Saccharomyces cerevisiae S288C: one gene and its partners. Changing the gene in region 4 together with the main gene of any one other region gives a genetic interaction. Each region holds a gene or a part of one and is shown on either strand. Other genes may lie near its edges.

Region 1 (6,446 bases), on a different chromosome or scaffold from region 4:
TCAAAATGATACTCTTCGTTATACGCAAGGCTATGATCTTAATGAGGATACTCCCCAGGCTAAAAAATTGACCGCCGAAGGTTATGGTAACATCATACTGTCCCTTTTCGATGGAGAGCCCTATGATTCATGGCAAATCAAACTTTTAGCCAAAAAAAATGGACTAACTCTGAGCAGATCGAGCAAATTCCAATGGGAAAATTTTCCAGGATATCATCACCGGAGAACGAATAGCGAACAAGATACTACAAAACCTGCGAAAGAACGTGATGCTAGGTTCTACATCTTTAGTAAATATGTCTCGAATAGTTCAAAACATAACCGTAAAAGCAAAAAAGACACAGATTCTGATTCAGACTAAGTACAGAAGGAAGAATGTCGCCATGTTGATGAAAGAACTTTCATTTTCCCTAATTCTTATATAGCGTAAGTATCTGTAAAATAGTTGTGAAAGTTGGACAAATCTTTATATAAAAAAATGCATATAGCTTGAAACTATTTCAGGTTGGGTACATTTTGATAGAATCTGATTCGCAAAATATTTTCATGTCAACTGGATCCATAATTTGACCTGGATTTAAAGAAATTAAGTTTTGCTTTTTCAATGTTTTGGCCAATTTCTTCAATTTTTTACTGTCGTAAACATTTCCATTTGGTAATAGTATTGGATTTTCAAATAATTGAGACTGAATGTGATGAGCAAATGGTAATGCCTGTGTTATTGGTTTGAAAGTCTCACTGCAAACGGGACAATTTTTCCTTTTTAGTGAATGTAGCGTAAAGAGTTGTAAATCTTCAACTTCTTTCTCTGCTGTTGTGGCAGTTTCCGTCTCTTGATTTCCATTTTCATCGTCAGAAGGGTGCAGGCAATCTCTTGTCTTCAAAGACGATATACCTAGTGACAGGTATATCAATAAAGGGTCATTTTGTGATATGCCATACATGGAATAAAAGTCGCTCAAGAATAAATCATTTAATACCGACCATCTTTGATCATCTAATAAATTCAGATATCTTTCGAAATCTCCACTTTGTAAATTTATTAAGGAACTCTTGTCATAGTCTGTTGTATTCACCGCAGGTTTGGAGGTAATTCTAGGTAAAGATTTGTGAAAAAAATGTTGAAATATTCGATCTTTCTTCATTGGTAAACTTTGAGACTTAATCTCTTCAGTATCGAATCCAGAGCTGGTAGAAGAAGTTGGCTTTTGATCATTACAGTATTTGATAAAAATCAGAAGTCCAGATGCTAATTTTAAATCGGTGAAGTTGCTCTTAACGAATGGTAAAAGGAATCTTTGAAAACATACTATAGCGTCGGTATAGTTATCCACCTTTAGTAGTTCAATATATTCTTGCAATCTTGCTTGAAACTCTAATATAGAGGACTTTTTGGTCAGTGTCTTTTTGTTCTCGTTTATCCATGAAATTAGGGGTAAGAGATTACGCTCATGTAGTAACGAAGTCGAAATTCTATTAGCCTCCAAGAGGACATCATAATCAATGAGATCATCCAGTTGGCTCTGTTTCAAAAACACTACGCCAGAGTTCCAATGATCCTTTGTCTCCGAGTTGTATTTAATCGGGTTATTCCTCGTCAGATAATCACCAATTAAAATGTTTGTATAACTCTGATACCACTGTATCAATTTAGTCCTGGTACCCTCATTATTTCCATTGTGCGATGTTCCTGAATTTTGTGACTTGATGTCCTTCAGTTCGTGGAAAAACTCCAGCCTTTTTTTAATTCTGTTCAAAATCTGACAGTAGGACTTGATTTGCGTATTTAAAAATCTTTCTATATGGTCAACTTTCCTAATCATTTCAGTTATTTTTGCTAGTGCCAACTCGTCGTGCTCAACGTCATTATGTTCAAATATTTGATTTAATGCGGCCGTGTGTTCATGTAGTGATTTGGTTTCCTTATTAATTACCGCTTGAGTATGCTTGATACGTTTGGACAGTAGTTCATAAGGAATATGAAATAATTGTTGATTTAATTTCAAATGGAAATCCACATCAGGCTCATTAAATATTGATTTCTCTGCCATGGCTTACCTACTTTCCTATAATTTATAATCATTTTCTCTGTTTTATGTATGAAATTGTAGATTTAACCACCCCCTTCTCTTCGCCTTTGCAAAAAGTGAATATCTCAAATTGCACTAGAGTTTCATTTGCAGCGATAAGTGGATAACAAAAAGCTGAAAAGAGAGAGAAAGAGAGAGTGCCAGGGAAATGGATAGACCAAGAACATTACGCACATATAGAGGACTCATAAGAGCCATTCTGAAATATGAAAGGCCAAGCAAGATAGTCAATTGGGGCAATCTACGAAAGGCAATGATAACAAAGTTGGAATATGCTAAGAAACAAAATCAGAGAGACTCGCATGAGAACATCAACAGACAGTTAGAGAAATGGAAAAAACTAGATCCGGTAAGCGACAGATCTTTGAATTTGTTTATAGCCGACTCTAAGTCATTACGTTCCATATTACAAAACGATATAAAGTGGGAGAAAAAGGTGGCCCAGGGACAAAACGTTGACGAGATATTCGAACACGCTTTGGACATCATCAAGTTCTTGGACAACCAAAGAGAATACGAGGAGCTGGTCGACAGATACAATCCTGGCAACAAGTTGACACAGGATGAGAAAGTGAAAAGAACTGCAAACGTGGTTGGGCTGGACGTTCCGACATAGTATCTAATCAATTTATAATATCAGAGTTTTGTAAATAAGTATATATATATATTTGATGTAAATATCTAGGAAATACACTTGTGTATACTTCTCGCTTTCCTTTTATTTTTTTTTTTGTCTACAAACTCTGTAAAACTTCTTGTCTTATTTGATAGGCATCCCAGAATGAAGTATAGGACCAGGTAAGGTGTTGGGCACCCTGCATAAACCCTGTGTATTTGTTAAATTGTTCACTTAGTTCCCCGTCTGTTCCCACGTGAGCTTTCAGCTTGACCAAGAATGAATCAGCTAGTTGGAAGATTTTTTGTATGGTTTGATTGAAGGCAGGTGTATTGAACTCCAAAATCAAATAGCCTTCGTCATTTCCCAAAGTCGTGAGGTTGGAGAATACCAGCTCGCTCCAAAATGCGTTCGAACAATCGTTGTTCATTGGGACAACCAAGTCATGCTGCTCAGAGATGTGTCTGTAAATGAGCTGATAAAGCGTTGTTGAAGCGGTACACGTGGCCAGGACCCAGGGATTTCCCTCGCCAAAGCCATATCCATCATATACGTCCTCAGGATACCGGCCCAGGGCAATACCCGTTGCATTTTTGGAGCTATCGTTGATGGGGTATATCGAACGCATGTGCAACATCAAATGGTGCAACGTGTTCAGGACGGCAGGGTCATTGATATCGAACGGAAGATGGGAAGCAGATGGCGCATCGTGGACGGTGTTCGCAGCTAATAAAGTGGATATGTCCAGTCCGGATCTCAATGTGTCGGCAATCATGGGTGTCCCAACAATATAATTGTACTTGCCGTTGATAAACCCATTCGCAGGGTCCACTAAAAACTTGGAGATGTCCCGGCGTGTCTGACGCAATTCTTCAACAAAGGGAGACGACCGTTCTGAGGCGTTAAAATACGACAGCGACTTGTCCACTGCAGACAGTTGTACCAGTAAAGTAAAGAAATGCATGCCATTGACTTCCTCCCATAGATCAAATCCGGAAGAATTCCAGTGGTCAATAATGAACCTCAGGTCCCAACGTACAATATCATCAAAGATATCTGCGGTGGACTGGAATGGGTACTTGGCCCCCAGATCAGTGCCAGATTGCTTGATGTAGTCGATGATTTTTAAGATGGCAATGCTTCGAAGAGCAGGCCCATCGTTTTGAGGACGACCCCAATCTTCCGTGAAAGCCGTGTTGTCGACGTTCCACTTAGGGTCTCCCAAAGCCACTGTATCGTTAGTGTAACCAATGCCAGCGCCCAATGTGTTGTTGCTTCTTTGCAAGTGGAATGAAACGTTCAGGTACTGCAATAACGTCTCTATTGCCGGGCCCGCAGAATGAGAGACAATACTGTTTATCGTCAACGCGCTGTCCCTTATCCATTGGTAGAAGTAGTCTGGATGCGTTTGCGATGGTGACGCAATCACGACCCCAGGCGAAATAGACGGATACACGGCGCTGGGCCCAATATTTTCAAATATTTTTTCGATGGAAACTTTTTTCTGTCCCTGGAGCCATTCCTCCAGCGCACTACTGTCCCAAGCGCCGTTTGAATCGTATACCACTGTCCCATTCATCAAGACTGCATCCCGCAGCTGCACTTGCGAAGGGCCGTTGTTTGAAAATACACCGCCGTAGCTTTGATCGAGAATGCCCTTGCCAAAGTCAAATTCGTATATAGTAATGTTCTCGAGCGCCCAAGCAAACCCGAATCCTACGCTGAGCATGCCGAGTAATTTGTTATAAAACATCTTTTGTCTTGCCATTTTGCTGCTGTTACTTATTTGAAATCTTGCTCTAGTCCACGATTATCACTATATTGTAAATGTACGATTTCTTGTGTAACAGAACAGATAACGGATCCAGAGCCAAGAGATGAGAAAAAATACGAAATGCGCAGGAGGAAACAGGGAACCAAAAAAGGACCCTTGCTTCTGTGCCTGAGTCCCCTAATTTGTGACTCCACACATGCAGGCAAGTTAAAAGCACCTTGTACGAGTGCTATGAATGGGTGTTACTCTGGCCCGATTTCCCTGACTTTCCTTATTCACCCTCACCCCTAATACCCGTTTCCGCGGATAATGTTCTATGCTTCGAAGCGCCCCCCTTGCGCTGGGCCTCGAACCGCATCCATTGAACAACAGCTTGGCCTTCCCTGTATTCTACCACATCCATTGCTATTGCCCCTCTCCCCTTCTCCTCTCTCTTCTTCTCCACTATACTGTGCTTTTCAGCCCATTCGGCGCGCGAAATCACAAGCTGTATATATACATTTACATATACATATATATATATATATATATGTGCATAAATGTATGTACATATATGAATGCCGGGCCGCGTGGCGTCTGTAGCTTGTGCGTGTACGTGTGTACACACTTCAACATATATATACATACATATATATATCTATTATTCGTGTACTAGTGTTTTAACTTGCTCGTTCTCGGTACGCATCCAGTTCTTCTCCCCACACAACGGCAAGCTCAAAATACCTTATCATAGACACCTTCTCCAACATGAAATATCCCGCTTTTAGCATTAACAGTGACACGGTACACTTAACGGACAACCCCCTGGACGACTATCAGCGTCTCTACCTCGTCAGCGTACTGGATAGGGACTCGCCGCCGGCCAGTTTCAGCGCCGGACTCAATATTAGAAAGGTTAACTATAAATCCTCCATTGCTGCGCAGTTCACACATCCAAACTTCATTATCAGTGCTCGGGACGCAGGGAACGGGGAAGAGGCGGCGGCGCAGAACGTTCTGAACTGCTTCGAGTACCAGTTTCCCAACCTACAAACAATTCAGAGCCTAGTCCACGAACAAACGTTGCTATCGCAGCTCGCTAGCTCCGCCACTCCTCACTCCGCCTTGCATCTGCACGATAAAAATATTCTGATGGGTAAGATCATACTACCTTCCCGGTCTAACAAAACACCAGTCTCAGCATCACCCACCAAGCAAGAAAAGAAGGCTCTGTCAACAGCATCGCGTGAAAATGCCACCTCCTCGCTGACAAAGAATCAGCAGTTCAAGTTGACCAAAATGGACCATAATCTGATCAATGACAAGCTCATCAACCCTAACAACTGCGTAATATGGTCGCATGACTCCGGCTATGTGTTCATGACGGGCATCTGGCGGCTGTATCAGGATGTTATGAAGGGGCTTATAAACTTGCCCAGAGGTGACAGCGTTTCCACTAGCCAACAGCAGTTCTTTTGCAAGGCTGAATTCGAGAAAATTCTATCTTTTTGCTTTTACAATCACAGTTCGTTCACTTCTGAGGAATCTTCAAGCGTACTGTTGTCGTCCTCCACCTCTTCGCCGCCAAAGAGACGGACATCCACAGGGTCTACCTTCTTGGACGCCAATGCGTCTTCTTCATCTACTTCTTCAACGCAGGCAAACAATTACATCGATTTTCATTGGAACAACATCAAGCCCGAACTGCGGGACCTTATTTGCCAGTCTTACAAAGACTTCCTGATCAATGAACTTGGTCCTGACCAAATAGACTTGCCCAACTTAAATCCGGCAAATTTTACGAAAAGAATAAGAGGTGGTTACATCAAAATTCAGGGTACTTGGTTGCCGATGGAAATCTCAAGGTTGCTATGCCTGCGGTTTTGTTTTCCGATCAGATACTTTCTGGTGCCTATTTTTGGTCCAGATTTCCCCAAAGATTGCGAATCGTGGTATTTGGCTCATCAAAACGTTACATTTGCTAGTT
Region 2 (6,309 bases), on a different chromosome or scaffold from region 4:
AGGCACTTTTTTTTTCCTTCAAATCTTTTATTGTATTAAAAATTTTCAAGTTGATTTGCGATGTATTTGTGAGATGAGATCATTACAGAAAATCTTAATCAAGTGAAGAATTTACAGCGCCAATATCCTGAATATGAGTGGAATGATAGAAAATGGGTTACAGCTATCGGACAATGCTAAAACCTTACATAGCCAGATGATGTCGAAAGGAATAGGCGCATTATTTACACAGCAAGAACTCCAAAAACAAATGGGAATCGGGTCGTTAACAGACTTGATGTCCATTGTACAGGAATTGCTAGACAAGAACTTGATCAAATTAGTAAAACAAAACGACGAATTAAAATTTCAAGGTGTCTTAGAATCTGAGGCGCAAAAGAAAGCCACCATGTCGGCTGAAGAGGCACTGGTATATTCTTATATCGAGGCTAGCGGTAGAGAAGGGATATGGTCCAAGACTATCAAGGCAAGAACCAATCTCCATCAGCATGTAGTTCTTAAATGCTTGAAGAGTTTAGAATCCCAAAGATACGTGAAGAGTGTTAAGAGTGTAAAGTTTCCCACAAGGAAAATCTACATGTTGTACAGCTTACAACCCTCTGTGGACATCACAGGAGGTCCATGGTTCACAGATGGAGAGCTGGATATAGAATTTATCAATAGTTTATTGACTATTGTTTGGAGGTTCATATCAGAGAACACCTTCCCTAATGGCTTCAAGAATTTCGAAAATGGACCCAAAAAAAACGTCTTTTATGCTCCAAACGTAAAAAATTACTCTACCACACAAGAAATTTTGGAATTTATTACAGCGGCACAAGTGGCCAATGTCGAGTTAACCCCTTCAAATATCAGATCTTTGTGTGAAGTCTTAGTGTACGACGACAAGCTGGAAAAAGTCACGCATGACTGCTATAGAGTGACCTTAGAGAGCATTCTACAAATGAACCAAGGTGAGGGCGAGCCGGAGGCAGGTAATAAGGCTTTGGAGGATGAAGAAGAATTTTCCATCTTTAACTACTTCAAGATGTTTCCGGCTTCAAAACACGACAAGGAAGTGGTCTATTTCGATGAATGGACAATTTGAAGTTCTTGACTACCCCTATCTCACACTAGTACGTAATTCAATGTATCATTCGTATTGTAAGTAGATAGAGACGCAATACAGGAAAGCTGACCTTCCTTCCAATCACCACGGCTGAAATGCTTTGTTGACCAATTACGGACGCTTAAGAGCGGACGCGGCTGGAACGGCTCCATCCTAAATCGGCGGAGGGAGAACTCCGATACCAGCCGACATGGCAATAATAGTGACAGTAGATGCTACCAGCCCCGCAATAATTTCACAGTAGATCATCAACAGTCTCCTCATTTCTGGAAATGATCAGCAACTTCGACGGATTTAACTCTCAAGCAGTTACGCACTCCGAGAACAGCCGTGATCATCTTTGAACAAGCAAAATATATAAAGCAGGAGAACTGTCCTACCTAGAGCTAGAATAGCCATAACTAACTATGTAACATTCTACAGATCAATCAAAAACAATCTTCAATCACAGAAAAAAATAAAAGGCATGTCTGACAGAGAACAAAGCAGCGGCAACACCGCTTTTGAGAACCCTAAGGCACTCGATTCTTCCGAGGGTGAGTTCATCTCTGAAAACAACGATCAGAGCCGCCACTCGCAAGAGTCCATATGCAAAATATATACTGCGGGCAAAAACAACGAGTATATTTACATCGGCCGTCAAAAATTTTTAAGGGATGATTTGTTCGAGGCATTCGGTGGTACTCTGAATCCCGGTTTAGCCCCCGCGCCAGTCCATAAATTCGCAAATCCTGCTCCACTAGGACTTTCCGGTTTTGCCCTCACTACGTTTGTCCTATCCATGTTCAATGCAAGAGCCCAAGGCATCACTATCCCTAATGTTGTTGTTGGGTGTGCCATGTTTTACGGTGGCCTCGTTCAACTCATTGCTGGTATTTGGGAAATCGCTTTAGAGAACACTTTCGGTGGTACAGCCCTGTGTTCCTTCGGCGGTTTTTGGTTAAGCTTCGGTGCTATATACATCCCTTGGTTTGGAATTCTAGATGCCTATAAGGACAAGGAATCCGACCTTGGAAATGCGCTAGGGTTTTACCTCCTAGGATGGGCACTCTTCACCTTCGGTCTTTCCGTCTGCACCATGAAATCAACTATAATGTTTTTTGCCTTATTCTTCCTCTTAGCAGTGACCTTCTTACTTCTATCCATTGCAAACTTCACAGGCGAAGTTGGCGTCACTAGAGCTGGTGGGGTCCTTGGTGTGATAGTAGCCTTCATTGCCTGGTACAACGCTTACGCAGGTATTGCCACAAGACAAAACTCGTACATTATGGTCCATCCATTCGCATTACCTAGCAATGATAAGGTGTTCTTCTAAAAACACAAAAGTGCAGGCTAAAATAACTTTTACCCCTATTATATATTCTTATGATCCATTATTTATGAAAAGCCCAGCAAATGTCGAACAAATCGGCCTTTGTTTTATTTCACATAGAATCCTTTATAAAACAACACTGTTCTCATGCATTTCCGAACTATTGTTCTTGTTGTATAGGAGCACGGTTTACCCCTTTTGCTATTGACACATGTAATATCGCATAAAAAAGAAACCGCACTTCATAGTGCATAAGCAGTACAGAAATGATATCACATGTAAGTGATAGCGATTTGACTGTTTGCTACCGACAAGACTATCTGAAATAAGAAAAAAAACGACCCCAGTGAGGGTTGAACTCACGATCTTGCGATTAACAGTCGCACGCCTTAACCAACTTGGCCATGGAGTCACTTTAAATTCTGCAGAACGTGAAAGGTTCGATTTCCATGATCTACACGATTTTAATCATCTGTAAGCCTTGCCATGAAGCTAAATTGGTGAATTTTTAAGAATTGTTTTGTTGGAACGAGAGTAATTAATAGTGACATGAGTTGCTATGGTAACAATCTAATGCTTACATCGTATATTAATGTACACCTCGTATACGTTTAAGTGTGATTGCGCCTATTGCAGAAGGAATGTTAAACGAGAAGCTCAGACAATACTGAAGCTGTGTTAAAGACCTATTAGTTGAACATGTTATGGTAGGTACATATATGAGGAATATGAGTCGTCACATCAATGTTTAGTAACTACCGGAATCACTATTATATTGGTCATGATTAATATGACCAATCAGCGTGTGTTTTATATACATCTCTTATTTAGTATAAGAAGATCAGTACTTATTTCTTCATTAATACTAATTTTTAACCTCTAATTATCAACAGAGGAATATGAGGATTCCTAGATCCTCGAGGAGAACTTCTAGTATATTCTGTATACCTAATATTATAGCCTTTTTCAACAATGGAATCCCAACAATTATCTCAAAAATCACCTAAGCCTCACATGCATGTTTTACGTTGTGGTTGATGATCTATTGATGTTGAGGTACCATATTTTGAAATTCATTAAAACAACTTCTACCGGGCGTGTGGTCTAGAGGTATGATTCTCGCTTAGGGTGCGGGAGGTCCCGGGTTCGAGTCCCGGCTCGCCCCCATTGATTTATTTTTATCAAATTTTTTAATATTGCATATCTTTAGTGGGCAAAAAATTTTTCCCTGGGCAAAAATATAAGAGAGCTCATCTTATTGTTGTCAGCCCAATGATTCCCTTGTCAAATTGAATTTTCGGATTTACTTGTTCAGGTACCCGCGTTAAGGGGCTGCCGCGCCTGTCACTCTAAGAAAAAAGGAGCCATCAAAAACCATTCAGCATTAACTAAAAACGCGGGTAGAGATTACTACATATTCCAACAAGACCTTCGCAGGAAAGTATACCTAAACTAATTAAAGAAATCTCCGAAGTTCGCATTTCATTGAACGGCTCAATTAATCTTTGTAAATATGAGCGTTTTTACGTTCACATTGCCTTTTTTTTTATGTATTTACCTTGCATTTTTGTGCTAAAAGGCGTCACGTTTTTTTCCGCCGCAGCCGCCCGGAAATGAAAAGTATGACCCCCGCTAGACCAAAAATACTTTTGTGTTATTGGAGGATCGCAATCCCTTTGGAGCTTTTCCGATACTATCGACTTATCCGACCTCTTGTTGTTTGAAAATGTCAATTGATATCCATCCATTATATAAATGCTCAAAACTTGCAGCAACTATTCTTTACCCTTCCCCTGTTATGGATTGCTAGTCTTAAGGGGGAAATTTGCTGTTTACTAAAATACAAACCAGGTTTGTTTTGGCTTTTATTTGCATTTAAGTAATTACAATTACAACCATTAAAAAGAAAATAAGGCAAAACATATAGCAATATAATACTATTTACGAAGATGTCAGCGATATTATCAACAACTAGCAAAAGTTTCTTATCAAGGGGCTCCACAAGACAATGTCAAAATATGCAAAAGGCTCTTTTTGCACTATTGAATGCTCGCCACTATAGTAGCGCCTCCGAACAAACGTTGAAGGAGAGATTTGCTGAAATTATCCCAGCAAAGGCAGAAGAAATTAAAAAATTCAAGAAAGAACACGGTAAAACCGTTATTGGTGAAGTTCTTTTGGAGCAAGCTTATGGTGGTATGAGAGGTATTAAAGGCCTTGTTTGGGAAGGTTCCGTGTTAGACCCCGAAGAAGGTATTAGATTTAGGGGTCGTACTATTCCAGAAATTCAAAGGGAACTACCAAAGGCTGAGGGTAGTACAGAACCTTTGCCAGAAGCTTTATTTTGGTTGCTTTTGACTGGTGAAATACCTACTGACGCTCAAGTTAAAGCCCTTTCTGCTGATTTAGCTGCCAGATCAGAAATTCCAGAGCACGTTATCCAACTTTTAGATAGCCTCCCAAAAGATCTACATCCAATGGCGCAATTTTCTATTGCCGTGACTGCTTTAGAAAGCGAGTCTAAGTTTGCCAAAGCATATGCTCAAGGTGTATCCAAGAAAGAATATTGGAGCTATACATTTGAAGATTCGTTAGATCTGCTGGGTAAATTACCTGTTATTGCTTCCAAAATTTATCGTAATGTGTTCAAGGATGGTAAAATTACTTCAACCGATCCTAATGCTGACTATGGTAAAAATTTGGCCCAACTTTTGGGCTACGAAAACAAGGATTTTATTGACTTAATGAGACTATATTTAACTATTCATTCTGATCATGAAGGTGGTAACGTTTCTGCCCATACTACACATTTAGTGGGTTCTGCCTTATCTTCGCCATACTTATCTTTGGCCGCTGGTTTGAATGGTTTAGCTGGCCCATTACATGGTCGTGCCAATCAAGAAGTTTTAGAATGGCTATTTAAATTGAGAGAAGAAGTGAAAGGTGACTATTCAAAAGAAACAATTGAAAAGTACTTGTGGGATACTTTGAACGCAGGGAGAGTTGTTCCTGGTTATGGCCATGCGGTTTTGAGAAAAACTGATCCTCGTTATACGGCTCAACGTGAATTCGCATTGAAACATTTCCCAGATTACGAGTTATTTAAGTTGGTCTCCACCATTTATGAAGTTGCCCCAGGGGTTTTAACTAAGCATGGTAAAACTAAGAACCCATGGCCAAATGTTGATTCACATTCCGGTGTTTTATTGCAATACTATGGTCTAACTGAGGCTTCGTTCTACACTGTATTGTTTGGTGTTGCCAGAGCTATTGGTGTGTTACCCCAATTAATCATCGATAGGGCTGTTGGTGCTCCAATCGAAAGGCCAAAATCATTCTCCACCGAAAAATACAAGGAGTTGGTAAAGAAAATCGAAAGTAAGAACTAAGGAAAATTTGATTTTTGATTCAGGGTATGCGACTATTCAAACACGTATTTTCATATACGAATGAGTAGTTTATAATTTATATAAATATATATTACATAAGGAAATGGCTATGACTTCATGATTTTTACGCTTTGAGTCCCCTATGCCTACCGGTTATGTTATATACTTGGCAAATGATATCAATGAATAGAAAACAAAATGCTCTTAAATTCCTGCAAAGCGCTTTCAAATCGAATTGTGGTGGGCTGGCGCGCTGATTTAGCAGTAAAATCTAGCCTGTAGTCGATATACTACGTCAAGGTGTAACTAACGTTTATATGTATATGAACCTGCAGAAGAAGCAAAATGACAAGGTTAATGCATCTTTATCTGTCCTAGAGTAGAAGATACACTAAAAAGTTGATAAAGCGAATATAATATGGTCATGTGAAAAAAGCAATCTCATAAAATTTTCTCTTTTTCCTTTTTTTCTTCTGTTCTTACCTCAAGATAAATGTCAC
Region 3 (6,259 bases), 460 kb from region 4:
ATCTCAGCACTAAACTTGTTTCTTATAGCATTGAAACATTCTTCATCTGCTGAAAGATTTCTCAACATTCCAATGCTGTAGCCACTGACGTGAAAATAGTTTTCGACCACATCTTTATGATATTTTACCAAGTACTGCGGATTAATTAATTCCAACCACTCGGTTATTAATTTTGCTTCGGACCCAATTTTTAAAGAATCTTTGTCCATAGTCTTGAATAAAGAATATTCATCTTCCTCAATTCGTGACACCTCTGCGAATAACTGTAAAAGACAATTTGTAGAAAAGGCCCTGACATCAGGATAGTTCTCCGTGTCTTCAAAAAGTTGAGCAAATACTGGCAGTATTTTTTTTACATGTCTTAAAGCCCAGTATTTATCTTGATTTCGTATTTCCAGCAAAAACTTAGTATAATAATTAACCAATTCGATGAAAACGAGGATATCTTCAACGGATTTCAGTATCTCTTCTTTAGTAAAGCAAAATATGATATCCTTGAACTCAGGACCGCTGATGAATTGAAACTCAATAGTCAAGAAGTCAATTAATCTGACAAAAGAAACCGTTTCCATTCTACCCTTTACGCTCACCAGGTATGGCAAATTATTATCAAATAATCGACGCCTAATCAATTCATCTGTACTCAACCTTTCCAACGCTTTTTCGATTGCTGTAATGAGCTTATCATTCTCCACTTTCTCATCAAATAGAATATCCAATAGAATATCGATGATATTACTGGTCGCGAATAAACCCTTTGGCTGCGAATTCTCAATGACTCTACATGCTGCTACTTTTAATGGATCTATTTCTGACCTAAGGGCCTTCACTAAGTCCTCCGCGCTATAAACTTCTAGAACATCGTCAAAATCAGCCATGGGAACAAGCTTGTCCACAACGTCCAAAAGGTAATCGTAATTCAATGAATCATAGGATACGTTAGACGTCAGAAAACGCTTGATCGTAGCCAGTAGTGGTTTAACATCCATATCTGGAAGGGAGACAACAGTCACAAGATTCAAAGAACATTTCCTTAATAGTGTGTTGATATCTTCAGGCAAGTTATCTTCATTAAGTTCATTTTCTAATTGCGTAAGGAGATTTTCCACGTAATTTGTTTCTTTCTCACTCATTGCTCCTGTTTCGCTGAGTTCTTTTGCGGTGATTATAGTTGTAAACTTGTTTTATTTTTAATCCCGTAATTAAGGTGTTTATATAAACTTACTCTTCAATTTTTCTATATGCATTTGAAACAGAAAAAAAGATATAAAAATACCAGCTATAACAAAAATCCATGTAAATAAAATTACTGTATATTTTTTTATGTAATCTAATCAAAAAAAATTCACGTCTAATACTAGTCATAAATGGAGTTGAAGCCATTAACTACTTATTTTTTATCTTCGTCCTTTTTCTTTTCTAAATGGACATTATTACCATTAAAGGTTGTTGGGTCTTCAGGATCTTCTTGATGATCGTTGTTAACAAATTGGAAAACATTTGGCGAGACAGAACGTGACGTAGTAAGGTTGGTTTCCGATGGGTACCTGGTTCCGCTAGGTGTCAGCATTGGTGATGCATGAGCAGATGATTGAACTGGTTCCCGAACATTGTTGTATTGGAAACAGCTTGACGAAGCAGCTCCAGATAAAGGTGTTGAAGACCTCACTTCGTGACGATTCGGCTTCGATGTTTCCTCACGTTGTGATGTTACTTCAGGATCTTTATCGTTGTGCCACCACGTAGAGAATCCCTTATAAAGACGGCCCAAAAGGCTTGGTCCCTCCATCCCAGTCACAGATAGCCCCGAGTTTTGAGTTTCTAGTGGTTTAAGTAATAATGCAGACCTTGGAGTTAGTTCTAGTGTCTCTAGCGTCTTCAATTCATCAGAATCCTTAAATGTCACTCTGGGAATGCCCCTGTGGAATGAGTACGGGCAGTCTCCATCTGTCCTGTTGACGTCCACCCATTTTCTAACGTCATTTAATGTTTCAGACGAGTTGAACTCATGTTTTAGAGTCTTGCCATCAGTCATCCTGATTTGCAAGACGCATTTGCTGCTGTGCAGTTTTTGTGCGTCTTTTATGTAATCATGAACATCCAATGGCTTATCATCATCAAGGGTTCTGTGATGAGTTTCATCAAGAGCTTTTCTTTCTGCACGGTCTGCCCTAACAAGTCTTATAATTCTTTCTCTTTCCTCCTCAGCCAGCTTTCTTTGTTTCAGTTGTTCACGACGTTGGATCTCTAAGGTAGTCTCAGCAATCCGTTCTCTTGCATTTTTCCTATGGACGTCTCTGGATGACTTTTCTTCTCTAGCCAAACCTGGATTGGTTTCCCTGGACGAACTCTCACCAGCCTTTTTGTCTTTGATGCCTATGCACGCCAGCAACTTCTCCCAATGTCGGTCATCCTCGCCTTGAATAATCAATTCTATCTTTCCAGCACGTATCAAGTATATACTGGGTACAACTACATTAGGAAATACTTGCTCAAATAACTGGAACTGCTCAGTGTCTTTGACCAACCTCAACCAAATACTATGTTCCGCTAAAGTATCTAATGAGACATCATCTCCTTTAAACCAACTTTTCAGCCACTGGTCATCCCGTGCAGTGTTGTAAACGGCCAGCACAACGCCTTCCTTGATGGAATCGTTTATTGCTTCTTCCACAGAATCTCTAAACAGTGCTTCTAACATTTGGTTACGGCTGTTTGGTTTAGCTATCCTTGCTTCTTTGTAAGTGCTTTCAACCTCAACCCAGCTCCCTTTTAAATTTTCAACATTACTACGAGGCCTGCCGAAGTTAATAAAGAGCGGCTTTAAATGTCATTTTAATAATTGAATGGCAAATAAAAACAACTACAGCTTCAAACATAAGAGTATATCATAAGTTGCTGTATATGGGCAGCACGTATTACTATGAGTCTCTCGCAGGTGTCACCTTTACCCCATATCAAGGATGTTGTTTTAGGAGATACAGTAGGCCAAGGCGCATTCGCCTGCGTTAAAAATGCTCATCTTCAAATGGATCCCTCCATTATTCTAGCTGTTAAATTCATTCATGTTCCCACTTGCAAAAAAATGGGACTCAGTGACAAGGATATCACAAAAGAGGTTGTTTTGCAATCGAAGTGTTCTAAGCATCCTAATGTTTTGAGACTTATCGATTGTAATGTCTCTAAAGAATATATGTGGATAATTCTGGAGATGGCAGATGGTGGTGATCTATTTGATAAGATTGAGCCTGACGTTGGAGTTGATTCCGACGTGGCCCAATTTTACTTTCAACAGCTCGTTAGTGCTATTAATTATCTGCATGTAGAATGTGGAGTTGCTCACAGAGACATCAAGCCTGAAAACATCTTACTCGATAAGAACGGAAATCTGAAGCTAGCTGATTTTGGGCTCGCCTCTCAATTTAGGAGGAAAGATGGTACATTACGTGTATCCATGGATCAAAGGGGTTCTCCACCCTACATGGCTCCTGAAGTATTATATTCTGAAGAGGGTTATTACGCAGATCGAACAGATATATGGTCTATTGGCATCCTCTTGTTCGTATTGTTGACTGGTCAAACGCCTTGGGAATTACCTTCATTAGAGAACGAAGATTTCGTCTTTTTTATTGAAAATGATGGAAATTTAAACTGGGGACCCTGGTCAAAGATAGAATTTACTCACTTGAACCTACTCCGAAAAATTTTACAACCTGACCCAAATAAGAGGGTGACATTGAAGGCTTTAAAGTTACATCCTTGGGTATTACGTCGAGCTTCATTTTCTGGGGATGATGGTCTCTGTAATGACCCTGAACTCTTGGCTAAGAAACTGTTTTCTCACTTAAAAGTCTCACTGAGTAACGAAAATTATTTGAAATTCACTCAAGATACAAACTCTAATAATAGGTACATTTCTACTCAGCCAATTGGTAACGAATTGGCTGAGCTTGAACACGACTCAATGCATTTCCAGACAGTTTCGAATACACAACGTGCATTTACCTCGTATGATTCAAATACGAACTATAATAGCGGAACAGGTATGACACAAGAGGCTAAGTGGACGCAATTCATAAGCTATGATATCGCTGCCTTACAGTTTCATTCTGATGAAAATGATTGTAATGAATTAGTAAAACGACATTTACAATTTAATCCGAATAAACTTACCAAGTTCTACACGTTGCAACCTATGGATGTTTTGTTACCGATTTTGGAGAAAGCCTTGAATTTATCACAAATTAGAGTAAAACCCGACCTTTTTGCGAATTTTGAAAGATTGTGCGAATTATTGGGTTATGATAACGTTTTCCCACTTATTATAAATATTAAAACCAAAAGTAATGGGGGTTATCAATTATGCGGTAGCATTTCCATCATAAAGATTGAAGAAGAGTTGAAAAGTGTCGGATTTGAAAGAAAAACTGGTGATCCTTTAGAATGGAGAAGATTGTTCAAGAAAATTTCAACTATCTGTAGGGATATTATCCTAATTCCCAACTGAAAAAAATGGAGACAAAAGAAGGGTTAAGATGCACTGATCAAAAAAAAAAAAAAATTCTTTCTACTTATTATATATCTCTCTCGATTTCTAGTGTGTCATCGTAACTATATATTGTTTCGAGAGATTTTATTATTGTAATTAATTTATTGCCATTTTGATCTATTCTACATACTAACAATCAATTCATATCATTATCCCTGTTTGAGTAATATTCGAGCCTCATCATAAAATCTAATAATTCAATTCTCAAGTTTCTTCTTTCTTCCACAGATATTCCGTTCAAGTCGCCCGGTGTGAACCCTCTCAATCTGGCCACTAACCTTCTCGACTTTTTTGAAAAAAAGTGCACTTTTAATGAAGGTGTGGCTTCCCTAGATGTAGCATCTTCGTTACCATCTCCCCCCAACAAAGGTTCGCCATCTGCTTCTGTGTGGGCTTGGCCTAATTGAATTTCATGGTGTTTTTCTTTTCCACCAATTGTTTTTGGTACGGTGTCTAAGCCATTCTGCGCGTTGATATTTGTATTTTCTGTCATTCGAGGAGGTGAATCTGGTGGCATTAACTCATTCCTTTGCAATCTCTTTTTCAATTTCTCTTTTATTTGGCTCTTTGACCCTTGCATTTTCAAAGAATTGAAAATGGGTATACGAATTTCTGGTAACACTGAAATATCAGCAACTTCGGGTTGTTCTTCTAGACCTGTCTCTTTAGATACCGCATGTTCCATTGATTTTAAAAAGCCCTCATCTCTGACATTTTCTTCAACAGGTACAAAATCGTCATTAATATTGGCATCCTTATCTCCTTTAAGCGGTCCCTTCAAATTTTTATTAAGTTCGCATGTTCCACTATCTTCTAAGCGTACATTGATACCTTCTTCGGTCATAACAACTTCCCTAGATTCTTCTTCAGTGCCTTGAATGGGTGTGCTGTCCATCCTGTCATTATTTTTGTTTCTACTGTTTATTGCACCCACTTGATGTTTCTCTTGCGCAACCGTTCCATGTTCATCTTCATCACTACGCAAGTCATCAACTTTTGATTTTTCTGTCTGCTTTGAACTATTGAGAAGTATAGTCCCACTCGGGATCTGAATGCCGTCTCCTGGCACCTCATTCCTTACTGGAGAGGCTTGTTCAACATTACAAGCATAATCGTTGTTTTCACCCTCATTATTAGGACGGGCTTTCTTCACGCTCTTGTACTGTGCAATATTGTCTTGCGTAAAACTTTTACTGTTGATTTTATTCATACTTTCCTGGTTCTCCTGTCTTTGAACATGTTCAACTTGCCCTTTTCCATCTTCCTTTGTTATGGTTTGCTGGTCAAGATCTAAAGTGACATTCAAGGAATTTTCATTACAGTTTGTTTCCACTTTTATGCTATTCCTTAAAGCTAACGAAGATTCTTCGTTGGCTATACTCTTGATGTTAGTACATATAACGTCACTGCTAGGCGACACCGCTTGTTCCTCAGAAACTAAAACGTCCACCATCGTTTCATGACCTTTCGATCTTTTATTTTCAGAGGTAGGCGTCTCTTTGGAAGGTCGTTTTAGAGGATTATCACTGTTAACAACGTTATGATCAGGATTCGTTTTGATAGATCTATTTGTTACCGCCTTCAGTTCGCTAGTGAGAACTTCTATCGGTTGGTATGCGTTCACTTCCGAGGATTGTGTATCAATACTTTCATGCAGCTCAGTAACATCCACCTCATCGCTTTTAGTAGAACAAATGTTGCTATGATTGG
Region 4 (5,907 bases):
TAGCAATTTAATGATTTTCGTAATCAAATCCATTTCTTCCTTCTTTTGTTTGACTTCCAAAGATTGACCACCTCTTTTGGCAATCTTTTCAGCACCTTCCAAAGCCTTTTGTGCGAATTCAATATCTTTCAATCTTAGTTCTTGGTTAATAATTTCTAAATCACGAACTGGATCAACGTCACCCTCAACGTGGATAATTTCAGCATCATCGAAACAACGAACGACTTGGTAGATAGAATCGACTGATCTGATGTGAGACAAGAAAGCATTACCCAAACCTTCACCAGCAGAGGCACCCTTAGTCAAACCAGCAATATCGTAAACGGTCAAATGAGCTGGAACTTCCGAAGCTGTCTTCTTGTAGATTTCACACAACTTATCAAATCTTGGAGATGGGACAATAACACGGGCTTCTTCTGGATCAATGGTAGCGAATGGATAGTTAGCTGGGTTACCCAATGGACATCTAGTGATGGCTTGGAAAAAGGTAGACTTACCAACATTGGCCAAACCGACAATACCGGCTTTCAAGTTATTACCTGGACGACCCAATAAGACCTTTTTTTCTTCGACTTGCTTCTTTGGAGGCATGTTTTACAGTGCTATTTATTTGATTGTTTTTACGGATACTAGAAGTAACACAAAAAGCTAAAAAAGGCAAAATGCAATAAAAAATTAGTACTAATTATCAACTGAATACACTACTAAATACGATTTCTCGCAACGAAAGGTATGAGAGAGAAGACGTAAGTTGACTTTCACTGCATCCTTCCTTTTGGGTCATAAAATCGCTGGGATGGCCCTTGAAAAAATTTTTTCAGTGAAAAAAAAAAGAATTTTCGAGAAAAAAAAAAAATTAGGAATTGTGCGTGGTCATTCAATACGGAGAATTAAGTAACACGCAACAACTGCATTCTGCCTTAGTTGTCTCAAGGCAAATTGGCACCAACAATATGAACTTGTTGTAAAGCTCAACTCCAAAGAAGGGAAACTACTCAGATTTGTTTTCTTCAGTTTAACAGGCGTATCTTCTGCAAATCTACTACGTTTCCTACCGAAGACTTCGCTCTACGAGAATTCTTAGGTTTCTACGAGTTACGCGCCCTTCTTCGAACGCCATTCTCAGGAAAAATTGCATTTACGTAATCTTTTGTTCTAATTGATATAATGGCTATTTATACGTAATATCATGCTTAAGAACCAAGAAAGCCAATAATGGCATTCGGAGGAAGCAATCAGTGAGGAAAATTGTTGATTAAGCTAGATATTTCTATATCTAGTAGATCTTGTCAAGTTGAAGTAGCGAATAGGACTCCTGTATTGCTATTGTGATGTTTTTTTATTGTACAGTAGTTGTATAACTTATCGTTGGTATTAACTACCGTTTGTTTATACATCATGCTCATTATCTCGTCCTGACTAATGTGAAAGGATCGATATATACATTGAAGGGTCGACGTCCCCTTTTATTAGCTCCTACAAAGATAGCACTGGCATATATTTTTTAATGTCTTGGTATATATTATATAGCAACTATACTCGATGTCATAAAGAGGAATACTATCTTTGGTGGTTGTCTAACTCTGAGCAATGCTAAGGCCCTTACCATTCTAAAACAACCATTTTTTTCTTCCCCTTCCCAGTTATACCTTTTTTGACTAGTTCTAGTAACTGTTCGTCAGTAGTAGTGTTAGTATTCCAGGTAAGAGTTTCAATTTCATCTCTTGGTGAAATAATGTGACCATAATTATACATTTTGATAAAATCACTGATGGTGTCAATCTTGCTTTGGGGGTTTTTTTTGTTCTTTTCAGTCACCCAGTACCCTTTGGATGTCAAGCCTTTGAAAATGTGTAGAGATGTTGGTAAAGTTACAGGTTGTTTTGACATTCCTCCATAAGTGAGCATCAAAGCATTATTTTCCAACTTACGTGCTATTGATGCACTGGATTTACCTCCAACAGAATTCAAGGCAAGCCTCACCCTTGCATTTTCACCCAAAATCTTGGACAATACTTCTTTGGCAAAAGTCTTGTCGTTGTTTTGCGATTCGGAAATAACCTTCGTAGCACCATACTTATCCTCCAAAACTTTTGCTACCTCATCAAAATTATCACGGTCACGTATAACACTTAATGTTTTGATCCCTTTAGCTTTTGCTACTTGCGTAACTATTTTTGATACACTAGATGTACCGGCATTTTGGATAATCCATTCATTACCGTTACTGTTCCAGTCGATATAGTCTGATACTAATTGGAAACCGGTACAACCATTAACAGATACAGTTGCCGCAGAAAACAGATCCAAATCATTTACCTTGATTAAATCAGAACTACTAGAGAAAACTCTATAATTGGACCAAGTCCCTTGATTTGCCTGCAATGGGATAACTCGGTCACCCAATTTCAAATCTCCCTTGGAACTTCCCGAAGGTAAAGAAACAACTTCAAAGACACCCTCATTACCGGCGATAGCGGCTGGCTCATCTGTGGAGTAATCGTATGTCTTTTCTGGACGAGACGGGTATACTCCTTGCAACTGATTGATATCCGAAGGGTTTATGGGAAAGGCCAAAGTTTTTAACACAATTGATTGAGATAAGTCTTGTTTAGGCGTATAATTTTTCACTGACAAAACCTTGGTACAATCCTCAACTTCATGAGTTGAATAGATGAGCGATTTGAAGTGCTTGGGAATCTGATGAGCTGAGGACGACATGTAACGTTTGAATGTGGGAAGCATCTTGTTATATCAAATGTAATTGGCAGATTATGAACCTTCTTAAATGACAATGTACGTTTGTAATCTCCAATTTCTTTAGCCATGGAAACAACCCCTGGGTACACCACTCGTGCGTCCCTTGGAGGAGAACCACTCTTTTAAGGTAAAAAAAAAAGCACCGGCGGGGTCCAATAATGATAATAATACCATAAATAAGGAAGATGGTATCACCGATTGGTCCAGAAGTATTATCCATACAGTTGTTTTTAATATTATTACATACATTATATATTAAAAATGTGTTTCGTAACCCTAAAGCAAAACAAAGTATATACAGTGACACAGATCCTTTAAACATCAAAAAAACAAAAAAAAGTAAGTCAGTGCAGATCCGAGCCTTCTCTCTTAATCTATCTAACTTTTAATTCAAAAGTACTTCTCCAAATAGCTACCACTTGCTTTATAACTAAATCCCTTGAACATATCCGGGGACTTGCTCACCGAATTGATATTAATCGGCTTGCTATCCGTATAGGTTTCCTCATATGACATAGAAGTAAATTCTGTGTCAAAATTTTCCGCTAGTTCCAAATCCGTAATAACTGGAACAATTGGGCCTAGAGTGGTTTTTTGCAATTGTCCAGATTCTAATAACTTCCAGTCTATTTTTCTAAAGATAAAATGTTCAGTGAAAAGACTAGTTCTTGCAGCCCCTGATTTCTTCTTCTTAGACTTAGTAGGCTTATTATTAGCCCCGGTTTTGGCCCAGTATTTGTCAACATTCCACCTTTTGGCAGTTTCCTTCTTCAACAGCGCGTTTAATATATCTTTCATTCCCTCGCTCAGATAAAATGGAATTTTGGGGCCTTGCTTGTTTTGTTGAATCTTATTAATGATCACCTTATGATTGCTACCAGTATATGGAGGCTTACCTACTAACATGTCATACAACAGACATCCCAAAGAATACCAATCACAATTCTGACTGTAAGCTTTACCTAATAATATTTCAGGCGCACAGTATTCAGGCGTACCGATAATCGAGTATAGGGCATTGACGTTCTCTGGATCCTCCTCATCAACCGCGGAATCATTAGCACTTTTTTTACTCAGACCAAAATCTGTCAATACTAAATGTCCACGTTGATTCAATAAACAGTTTTCAGGTTTTAAATCTCTATAGACAACACCTTTCGTATGCAAAAATCTCAAGGCACAGCTGATTTCTGCCGCGTAAAACGAAACTGTCGTCTCATCTAGGGTCCCGTGTTCCTTCAAGTGGTAAAATAGTTCACCGCCAGGGATATATTGTAGCAGTAAATATAACTTTGAGTTATCGTGAAAAGAATAAAATAACTTGACAATGTTTGGATGTTCTATTTCAGATAGAATAGACCGTTCGGCAAATGTTCTCTCAAGCCTCTTTGATAATCCATCGTCATTATCGTTGTTATTACCATCATTTTTATCTTCGTCTTCTCTCTTGGAATCTGTGGCTGTTTGAGAAATTAAAATTTCTGCTTTCCGTAATTGCTTCATAGCATACAGCTTGGATGTATTGACGTCCTTAACAAGAAGAACTTTACCGTAGGCACCTTGGCCTAGGACTCTCACGGGCTTAAAATCGTGCAGGTTCCTTGATAATTCATTTTCTCCAATATTAGAGGAAATAATGTCCTGAGGTGTTATGGATAGTCTATTCGTATTAGTTCGCATTGCGTCCGAACCTGTAATAGAAAATCTTCTCGTATTTGGTGGAGTGAGAATAGGGAATTTGGAATAAGCTGAGGACCTTCTTCTCATCCTATGTGCAGGACTCATGCCATTTAGCGGAATCGCATTTGAATGAACCGAGAGGTGATTTATACTCTCCTCATATGTGATGGAGCTGCCTTGTTCATGATTGATATCATTGTATATTGCCGAGGAATAATCTACTTTAATGTCATTCTTTTTATCATCTAGTGACACACGATGAAGTTCTTCATCTAGTGAGAAAATCATCCTAATTACTGCCAACAGTATGCTCAGCTAGATTGGTTGATGAAAAATCTTATCATAGGGCACCTTCCAGGTAAAAGATCTACTTACTATTAGTCAGTACGTCCTTTTTTCATTTGTTTATAATTTTTTTTTTTTTTTTTTTTTTCTCCTCTCAATATTTTAGAAGTAACATGACAGAGCAACACGTTTATTTTCCTACATATAGTCATAAGTATAAAAACGAGCGAGAAATTTTGTTAAAGAATTGATATCATATTTTATAATTTACATAAACTAAATAGGGAAAGAGTAGTATAGCGTGCATAAGTTTGAAAAAAAAAAACTATTCATACACTCATATATACTTTTATATGGTCTTTTTTATATTCAAGAGTGATTGGTCAATGATTTCTTGGTCACATTAAAGATGTCAGCCAACTTTTCAAAATTCTTCGCTGATATTATACCTTTTTTAGATAGGAATCTAATCAAGATATCAATCAATTCTATAATCTGCTTGTCGTTCAGGTTCATTAAAATAGTGGATAAAACTGTATCTACTGTTATTCTGTGTTCGCTGATGAATGTTTCATAGTACAAATTGGCAAAAGAACCCATTATGAATTGGCAATCAACCCTGTCTGTGATACCACCATGGCCTGGGATGGAGTGGCCAAAGTCTTTAACTTTAAAAGTTCTCTTTAGACCAGATGCGAAAAAGCCTCCAAATGGCGCAAATAATGATGCAAAGGTAGCTAAGTTTAAAGCATGGAAATAAATTGGTTTTACTGTAATTGAATTGATTTGAACTTTATCGAAAAAGATGGGTGGAAGTCTGTAAACTTGTGGAAGGAAAACTGGGTTTAGTTCACATGTCAAATTAGAGAAAAAATTGGTATGGAGATCTTCAACAGGGCACGTCAAGTAAGTATAAGGGCTCAGAATCCTTGTTAATATAATACTAGCTAGAGCAGTGAAAAACCAGGCACCAAGGAAACCTTCTAAAGTTTTCTTGGGCGAGATTTCTATTAGTTTAGTCTTACCGAATGTAATGCCGCACAGGTAGGCGAAGATATCATTAACAATTACCAACCCGCATGGTAATAAGAACCAGAATAGCCCATTGAGCACGTTTTTGATGATCAAATGAGCCTGAAATACTACCAGAAGAAGAACCATATGAGTAACGCACAATGATCC

What was found.
Region 1: mutations in ETR1 (region 4) and FYV10 together harm fitness more than expected from each alone (negative genetic interaction), as found in Saccharomyces cerevisiae (2 studies listed by BioGRID).
Region 2: mutations in ETR1 (region 4) and CIT1 together harm fitness less than expected from each alone (positive genetic interaction), as found in Saccharomyces cerevisiae (3 studies listed by BioGRID).
Region 3: mutations in ETR1 (region 4) and CHK1 together harm fitness more than expected from each alone (negative genetic interaction), as found in Saccharomyces cerevisiae (3 studies listed by BioGRID).

What each region holds. Positions count from the first base shown.
Region 1 is NC_001141.2:176,032-182,477, reverse strand, and holds FYV10 (glucose-induced degradation complex subunit FYV10), read right to left. Parts: upstream 2,052-6,446; coding exon 501-2,051; downstream 1-500. Other genes in the region: BMT5 (25S rRNA (uracil2634-N3)-methyltransferase), read left to right, coding at 1-361; FMC1 (Fmc1p), read left to right, coding at 2,239-2,706; SGA1 (glucan 1,4-alpha-glucosidase), read right to left, coding at 2,825-4,474; XBP1 (Xbp1p), read left to right, coding at 5,228-6,446. UniProt on the Saccharomyces cerevisiae protein: Component of the GID E3 ligase complex recruiting N termini and catalyzing ubiquitination of proteins targeted for degradation.
Region 2 is NC_001146.8:629,122-635,430, reverse strand, and holds CIT1 (citrate (Si)-synthase CIT1), read left to right. Parts: upstream 1-4,369; coding exon 4,370-5,809; downstream 5,810-6,309. Other genes in the region: RPC34 (DNA-directed RNA polymerase III subunit C34), read left to right, coding at 134-1,087; putative ammonium permease ATO2, read left to right, coding at 1,575-2,423. UniProt on the Saccharomyces cerevisiae protein: Specific citrate synthase with catalytic activity only with acetyl-CoA.
Region 3 is NC_001134.8:746,671-752,929, forward strand, and holds CHK1 (serine/threonine protein kinase CHK1), read left to right. Parts: upstream 1-2,923; coding exon 2,924-4,507; downstream 4,508-6,259. Other genes in the region: HSM3 (Hsm3p), read right to left, coding at 1-1,133; UBX7 (Ubx7p), read right to left, coding at 1,391-2,701; DNA-binding protein RIF1, read right to left, coding at 4,686-6,259. UniProt on the Saccharomyces cerevisiae protein: Serine/threonine-protein kinase which is required for checkpoint-mediated cell cycle arrest and activation of DNA repair in response to the presence of DNA damage or unreplicated DNA.
Region 4 is NC_001134.8:291,275-297,181, forward strand, and holds ETR1 (enoyl-[acyl-carrier-protein] reductase), read right to left. Parts: upstream 2,746-5,907; coding exon 1,603-2,745; downstream 1-1,602. Other genes in the region: OLA1 (Obg-like ATPase), read right to left, coding at 1-591; YBR027C (uncharacterized protein), read right to left, coding at 2,750-3,082; putative protein kinase YPK3, read right to left, coding at 3,151-4,728; CDS1 (phosphatidate cytidylyltransferase), read right to left, coding at 5,095-5,907. UniProt on the Saccharomyces cerevisiae protein: Catalyzes the NADPH-dependent reduction of trans-2-enoyl thioesters in mitochondrial fatty acid synthesis (fatty acid synthesis type II).